2 linked regions of the Lonchura striata genome follow. The protein of the gene in region 2 interacts with the protein of the main gene of each other region in a biochemical or structural test. Links are inferred from orthologs where the notes say so. Each region holds a gene or a part of one and is shown on either strand. Other genes may lie near its edges.

Region 1 (3,747 bases), on a different chromosome or scaffold from region 2:
TCTGATAGAGTTTGCAGCATACTAGGACAAGAAATGCATGTGGCCAAAGGACAGAAAAAAGCAACAGGGACTGGAAGGACTGCTCCTTTGAGCAATGCTAGCTCAAAGGGGTTTGGAAACAAGTAAAAGACCAAAGCTCCATAGTTCAGGAAAAAGGATTAAATCACATGAGGTCAATAAACTGGTGTGCTAAAAATAAATAGGGCATGATCATTCACTATTTCTTAGATGACAAAAATTCAAGTACCTTGTAAAATTTTTAAGCACTGGTTTTAAAACTAGTGAGAAAAAAAATCCTGTCTAGCCTTTGTGCAAATTTGAGACCTTCCCACCACTGCTGGAGGCCAGGTGTACCAACAGCTCAAAAAGCTATTTAATATAGAGAAGCGGTACATTTGTGGCTGTTAGGGTTGCAGTGGACACAGATTTCACCTGAGAGCTTTTCCTGTGCACCCAGGAGCTGAAAACGGAAAGAAAAGGCCACATAATGGTGGTTTATATGTTTTTATACCTCTTACATGTATCTCTACTATTGGCCATTGTCAGAAGTTACCAGCCTAGAGACAGTTGCTTTGAATGAGGCTGGCTCTTCTGTTTTCACCTACTTTACTTCAACTATATGTGATATGAATACATTGTTCACATTAGTTATATTTGCAGTAATTATTGTGGAGACACAAAGTCTGCATTAGATATACCTAAATAACAAAATAAAACTAGACAAGTTCTTTTTCCGAAACAAATTATGCCACTGAAGATTTCTTGAAGAATGTATAGACATGGTGTTACTGGAGCTATCCGTCATACTTACCCTTGGACAGAGCAGTACAGATAAGAAGGGTGGCTTTAAAGCAGTGGCAGTAGATAGCCTAAGAGCACCTCTGAGCTCTGACCCCACAGCTCTAGGTTACAGCTAACAGTGGAAGTGTCCCGTGGAACTACGGATGGACGAGGGACAGTAAAGCATGGCTTGCAACATATTGGTAACAAAAAGACAATCTCTTTTCTGGGGAGTTCATCCTAAAATACTAGAACAAATTGAAAATGCATTTCTGACGAAAACCTTTGTTGGTGCGTGGGGAGAACCCAAGTTTCTAATTTATGGCAGGATTGAGTTGGGTTTGGTGCCAGCTCCTGCCTTCCTACTGATGAGCCCCGGAGCTATTAAAGCGATGTGCCGGGAGGTGAGGGCGCAGTCTCCCCGCCCGCTCCCCGCGCCCCGCCGGCCGCCCATCGGCGCGGCTCCCGTGCCCGCCCCCGCCGCTCGGCACGGCCGCTCCCGGGCGGCCGGGCAGGTACCGGGGCCGCTCCGGGCGGCAGCTCCGCCGCGAGGGGTGTCCCTGAGCAGCGGCTCGGCGGTGCCGGGCGAGGATTGGGCAGGGCGGGCGAGCGGCTCCGCGGCTCCCTCGCCGCGTTCCCGCAGCAGCAGCGCGCTCGCCGCCCGCGCCGCTCCCGGCCCCGGCCCCGGCCGCCGCCGCATCGTGATGCCGCATCCCGCGGCGCCCCTCGGGGCCGTCCTGCTGCTCGTCCTGCTGGCGGCGGACTCCTCGCAGAGTGAGTACCGCGGGGGCTCGTCCCACCCGCGCACGCCGCCGAGCATCCCCCGCCGCCCTGCGTGTGTGCGAGCGCGGGCTGTGCCGGGGCGGGGTGGGGTGCGGGGGGATGCGCAGCTTCGCGGCTGCGGTGCGGGCGGCGGCGGGGTCAGGGGATGCTGGCGAGGGGCCGCGCTGAGGCCGCGGCCACCCACGGGCGGCACCTTGAGCAGGGAGAGCGCTCGGTGCCCCCGGAGGGGCGGTAAGTGTGCGGGGTGGGGGTAGGGGAATCCGGGGCGATCAGACGGGCTCAGCTGTTCACGGCTGCCTGTCCTTGCTCCTGCTCCTCTCCTCGTCCTGCTCCTGGCCTCCCCCGCGCCGTCCCGGCGCTCGGCTGCCCAGCCGTGCTGCTGCGCGCCCCGGAAGCTGCCCAGTTCCTGCGGCAGAGGCAGCGCCGAGCCTACCAGATCTTCGAGGAGACCAAGCAAGGGCACCTGGAGAGGGAGTGCGTGGAGGAGCACTGCAGCAAGGAGGAGGCCCGGGAGGTGTTTGAGAATGACCCGGAGACGGTAAGGACGCAGGGCCGCCGTGGAGATTTGGGGGGTGGGTGTCCGGCTCTGCGCTCCCACCCACCCATTATCCGCGGCTGGATGTCAGCTACCGGCACAGCTGGGAAAGGCATCTGGAGGAGGAGGACCCAGGGCCATTAGGTGAACGACTGGAAGACACACTCGTGCTCAGCCTGCACAAGGGCTGTGCCAGGGCTGTCCAGTCAGGAGCACCTCGGTGAGCGTGGTCCGAGTGAGCAGCCCAGCCTGGCGCCGGCTGGCGAGACTGTCACTGGAGGGTAGAGCGGTCCTGTTCGCCCATGGTCCAAATCCATGAAGCAAGACCAGTGCAACCTAATGACACAGCTTCTCTGTCTGGATACCTTGCCATCCCTGCTCTTCCCTCCAGCTTCCCATCCCAGAGGTATTTAAAATCCCCTCAGTGTTGCAGCATATGTCACAACTGAGGCTTCTCAGACGAATGTCCTAACCATTCTTAAATCCATGGGGGCCAATTCAGCTTGGTCAGCATCTTAGAATCAGTAGGTTCAGGACCTGTCACTACAACAGCAGGAGGGCACATATATGGAAATGTGGTTCTGCTTCTAACACTGTGGATTCACAGTTACAGACTGCACACTGTACATGGAGCTGTCTTTTCCAGTCTTACCAGGGTTGACTTTCACTTCAGTCCTCTCACTTTGAGCAGCATACGGATGCTTTACTAAGCTTGGCTTACTCCTCCAGTCATTTTACACCTCCTCTCAACAATGTTTTGGATAGGCTGTTCTCATTGCAAGGACTATCTGGCATCGATTTAGCAGTGGGAAGTGGATTTTCTTGGTGCTCAAACTGAAGCTCAGTTCTGCACAGCATGTTCCTGTTAATGGTATGATGCTCCAGGGAGAAGACAGGACAGAGGAGGAGAGAGAGAGAGTGAGCACATGTGTGTGTACACAGAGGCACAAACCACAGGCAAAGGAGGGACTCAGCAGAGATGTTTTATGCTTCAGTAAGGCAAGTCTTGACACGTTTGCTTCATTAGCAGCCTCAGCACTCGATAGACAGTGCAGTAGCTTGCTGTCACAAGACAGTAGTAAGTACAGCAAAAGCAAAGTGATGTGGTTTTGACAGTCTTTATTTTTGAGATTAATATGGAACACTTGCCCAGGCGGTGTTTAATGTTACACCTTTTATGTGAATGCATAGTCACTGTGTGTGGCAGTGTTTGCTTCTGCTCTGCAGAAACTGAGAGACTCCAGAATGTGGATAACTGTAATGGGGTGAGAGTGGCTGGCACAGCTACTGTATTTGTGTTGAGTAATGTAGCATTAAACTTGATAGAAATATTCACCACATAGCAGTGAGTACAGGGAAAACTATGATGAGTGTGATTTTATAGCCTTCTGGACCAAAGGTGATCTAAGGTCACTACTTTTACTAACTGGCTGCTGGCCAAGAGGGTAGCTAAAGGTGATGCATTGATAGATCACTTTAAGGGTAGGATAGTGTACAAATATGTCAGGAGTTTTAAACAGTATTTGGTACTGACTTCGTAAATTGTAAAGAATGCATGGTTCTCCTACTGAAATGACAATAGTGAAATAATTTTTGGTTTAAAATCTTTTCACATATAATATAAATTCTTTAAGACACTATCATACTTT
Region 2 (3,747 bases):
CACCTTTCAACCCAGATTCTCACCGTAACTCCTACGAAAAGGCAGTGCCAGATTTTTTTTAACAACTGTTCGTAAGTGACTTTATCCACGACGTTCTACTAACGCTGTGGCAGCAGAAATGTCCCTCCTAAACTCTCTCCCTACTTTTCCGCTAGCGGAAAAATGGTCAAGGCCGAGCCGATCCTGCTTGAAGGGCACGGGCGGATCTCCTCACCTTGCCGATGCTCCTTCACAGCTCAGCCGCCGGGATGGGGTGACCGACATCCCCCGAGCAGGAGGCCGAACGGTGAGGAGAGTGCGGCCGGAGCAAGGAGCTGGAGAGGGCCGGCCGAGGGAGATGGGGCTGGGGATGCTGCGTGCATGAGGCGGGGTTCTGCTCATCCCGGCAGAGCCTCGGCTTGGGGGGCTGAGTCCCGGTGGCGGCCCCAAGTCCGCCTCCCTTGGGGGGTTGGACGGTGCGCTGGGGCTCCAGAGGGGCCACATGTAAGTAGGGGGATGACCGGTGCCCCGGCAGCTCCCGCGGATGTGGGTCACCCGTTCCCGGCGCTCTGGAAACCAGGCCGCTCGGCGGAGCAGCCCTCGGGGGGCGCCGCCTCCACACACCTCCTCGACCGCTGCCGCTGCCGCCCCAACCCCGCCCCTCCCGCCCCGTCCCGCCCTCCCGGGGGCTCGGAGCCCCGGTCCCGTCCCGGGGCGGCGGAGCGGGGGCGGCGGGCGCCGTGATTCGCCGCTTCGGGGGCGGTGGGCGCCCGGCTCATGCATATTCATGATGTGATGTCAGAGGGGGAGCACAGCGCGCGGTGACCGCCCGAGAGCGCCATTTCCTGAAGGAGGCGGCGGCGGCTGGGCAGGGACGGACGGACGGACGGACGGAGCGACCCCGCAGAGTGGCGCCGCGGCGGCCAAGCCGGCAGGGGGAGATCGCCCAGCGGCGGCGACCGGACCGGAGCGGACCCGACCCGACCCGACCCCACCGACCCGCGCCGTCGCCCCGCAGCAGGTTCTCCTGAGGCTCGTCCCGGCCGGAGCCAGAAGTTTGAGCGTCCCCGTAGCCTCCCGGGCGAGCCCGGTATCGGGCGGCGACGCGGGGCTGCCGCTGTCGCCGCCGCCGCCGCCTGCACGGGCGGTGGGAGCCCCCCGCGGCGCCGGGAGCAGGGGGGAGGATGGTGGTGCGGGAGAGATGGAGCTGAAGCGGAGCATGGCGATCCCGCGGCTCCTCGTGCTGGGACTCTGGGCTGCGGCACTCCGGGACGTCGCTGCCGTGGCAGGTGAGCGGGGCTGACAGCCCGGTGGCGGCGGGGCACTGTCCCCCGAGACCCCGGGTGCGGCGGGAGGGGCTGCGGGGCTCGGCTGCCGCCGCCGGGCCGGGTGTCCCCGCGGGCAGCTCCCGCTCCGCCACCTCTACGAGTGCCGGCAGCCCGCTGAGGGTCGCCGGGCAGGAGCGGCCGGGGGCGCCCGGTCCGCCCGGTGCGGCGGCCGCGGGGCCTCGGGCAGCCACAGGTGGGGTCGGGCCGGCGCGTTTTGCCCCTCCCGGCCGGGCACGAGCGTCTCCGCCGCGTTCGTGGGGCCGGCGACGTGGCGCTCTGGAGCCGGCGGGGAAACCGAGCTGTGCGAGCCTCGCCTGCCTGCGAGTAGAGTAGCGAGTAATCCTCCCCGGGGTTCGCGGAGGCATTGCGCTGGTATGTGCCTAGCGCGGGCCGTCGCCGAGGAAAGCTGGGCGCTAACGCATTCCTGAGTGGCTTTTGTTGGGTTTTTTTCCCTCATGAACTCATTTTCCGAAGTTTCACCCTCCGGTCGGCAGGGAAAGGCAGCGTGCTGGAGTGTCTCGGCGCCCCGGCCAGCCTCCTCCCGACTTCAGCGGGAGTTTGGGCTCCGCGCTGTATGTGGAGCGATGTGCGGGCAGTGACACGGAACTGGGGAGGCTGTGGCACAGGCTGGATCGCTGGAGCAGTGTCCTAAGCAATCTGAGGAGGAAAAAACCTTTACCCTGGCATGCATGAGCAGACGTCTTCCTCTCTCTCCACTCCCAACATCACAAAAAACGTATTCTGTTCCTAGGAATTAAAATATTCAGAGGTAGCAAGTTTAAAAAACAAACAAACAAATGTGTCATATATTTTGACAACTAGTGTGTTCACTTGCTGTCAATTCAGACAATTGCTTGATAAGACTTTTAAAATACTTCTATTTCATATCTATACATTTCACAATCTGTAGCTCTTACAGGTAGGCTTGGCGGAGCCTATTTGGATTAAATTACTTTTTGCACAGTTGAATCAAGGATTGTCAGATGAGAAATAGTGAGTGGGAGAGTAAAATGAGGAATAGGTGGAAATTAAAATTCTTATTTGCCTCCTATGTGATTCTTCCTGATACCTGCAGGAAGAGATGCTGCAGCCAAAACTGCGCTATTGACCTATGAAGTTATTAAAAATACCTGATGTGTAATTCTTCATTTTGGTTGAAATTGATGGAGGGATTATACTTGGACAATATGTACAACTCTGACTGAACACTTGTACTGTATGTTAATTTCCTACATCTTTGATTCCTCTGCTAACTGAAAACCATATAGAATCTCTAACAATATTACCTTGTTTAATTTATGGCTAACTCTTTCAGCAGGGCAGTCTGAAGCACGCTGAGTAGTTTGATTTTCCATGAAGGCACCTGTAATGAAAATGTCTGTCAGTTTGTGCGCATGTAGCAGCCTGACTATAACAGTTTTCTGAAACACAGAGAGAGCTGCTATGAAGCTTTCATGTTGTATTCCAGTGCTGTGAGTGGTGAAAGGGAGGATGCTTTCTGGCATGCACTGGGACATGTAGTTTGTGTCACATTTGAGTTAAGTAATGCGAGGTTAGATCATCCTCACCCAAGGTGATCAAATCCTTAGCCCAGCAAATGAGCTATAGCAACTAAACTCAAATGATCAGCTTGCCCATTTTCCAGTGCTCTCCATGAATTTGTTAAATGAGTAACAGGAGATAGAAAGGCAAAAGACTGAGTGCCGGGAAACCAGCTGGGAAATCTCATTAAGGAAAGGAGTAAAGATGTTCTGCCTGTGTTCTGGGTTTTCTCCTAGACTACGGGTGCTCATTTGGGTGCAGGCTGCTGGTGGCAGAGCACTGGCTGGTCCCACAGTGCTTGCTCCCCTTCTTCCAGCTGTTACAACCATGCTGTGAGTTCCTTTGCTGCTCGTCTGCCCTGTGAGGTGGTGCCCTCATGGCTGTGGGAGGGTGGTGTTTTAGCAAGAAGGGAAGTGGCAGATCAGAAATCCATGTTGGATCACCGGTGAGGCTGTAACAGAGTTTGAGAGCAACAGGGCTTCTTACTAAGCAGTGCCTTCTGACTGGCTCTGTGAGTAGCAAGGCATCCTGTGAGAAGCTGACCAACCAGTGGACTGGGTGAAGTTGTAATGTATGGTGATACGTGGCCAGGCAAGAGTGATGGAGTAATTTTTTTTCTGTAGATGTGGAGTCCACTGCCAGGGCATAATACTGGACTAGGCTAGACCTGTTCTGGTCTGTCAGTCCTGTGTCACTGCATAGGAAATAGCCACTCTCCCTAACAAAACTAACTTTACATTTGTTTTCTACCTTCCTGCTTTCCCACGGTCTCCTTTGATCTTCTGGTTCCTCCTTTATATGCCTGTCTTTCTTAAATGTGCTTAGATAGTTGGCTTCCGTGTCTTCTCATGGTAACAAATTCCATATATTCACTTCTGCTTGAGGGAAACACTCCCTG

What was found. The genes of interacting proteins can lie anywhere in the genome.
Region 1: the proteins of TYRO3 (region 2) and GAS6 form a complex in vitro, tested with the Homo sapiens proteins (2 studies listed by BioGRID). The link is inferred for Lonchura striata from reciprocal best matches to the Homo sapiens genes TYRO3 and GAS6.

Annotation. Positions count from the first base shown.
Region 1 is NC_134604.1:91,116,510-91,120,256, forward strand, and holds the start of GAS6 (growth arrest-specific protein 6), read left to right. Parts: upstream 1-1,448; 5' UTR 1,449-1,484; coding exon 1,485-1,554; intron 1,555-1,934; coding exon 1,935-2,101; intron 2,102-3,747. UniProt on the Homo sapiens protein: Ligand for tyrosine-protein kinase receptors AXL, TYRO3 and MER whose signaling is implicated in cell growth and survival, cell adhesion and cell migration.
Region 2 is NC_134608.1:37,106,323-37,110,069, reverse strand, and holds the start of TYRO3 (tyrosine-protein kinase receptor TYRO3), read left to right. Parts: upstream 1-815; 5' UTR 816-1,180; coding exon 1,181-1,268; intron 1,269-3,747. UniProt on the Homo sapiens protein: Receptor tyrosine kinase that transduces signals from the extracellular matrix into the cytoplasm by binding to several ligands including TULP1 or GAS6. Regulates many physiological processes including cell survival, migration and differentiation.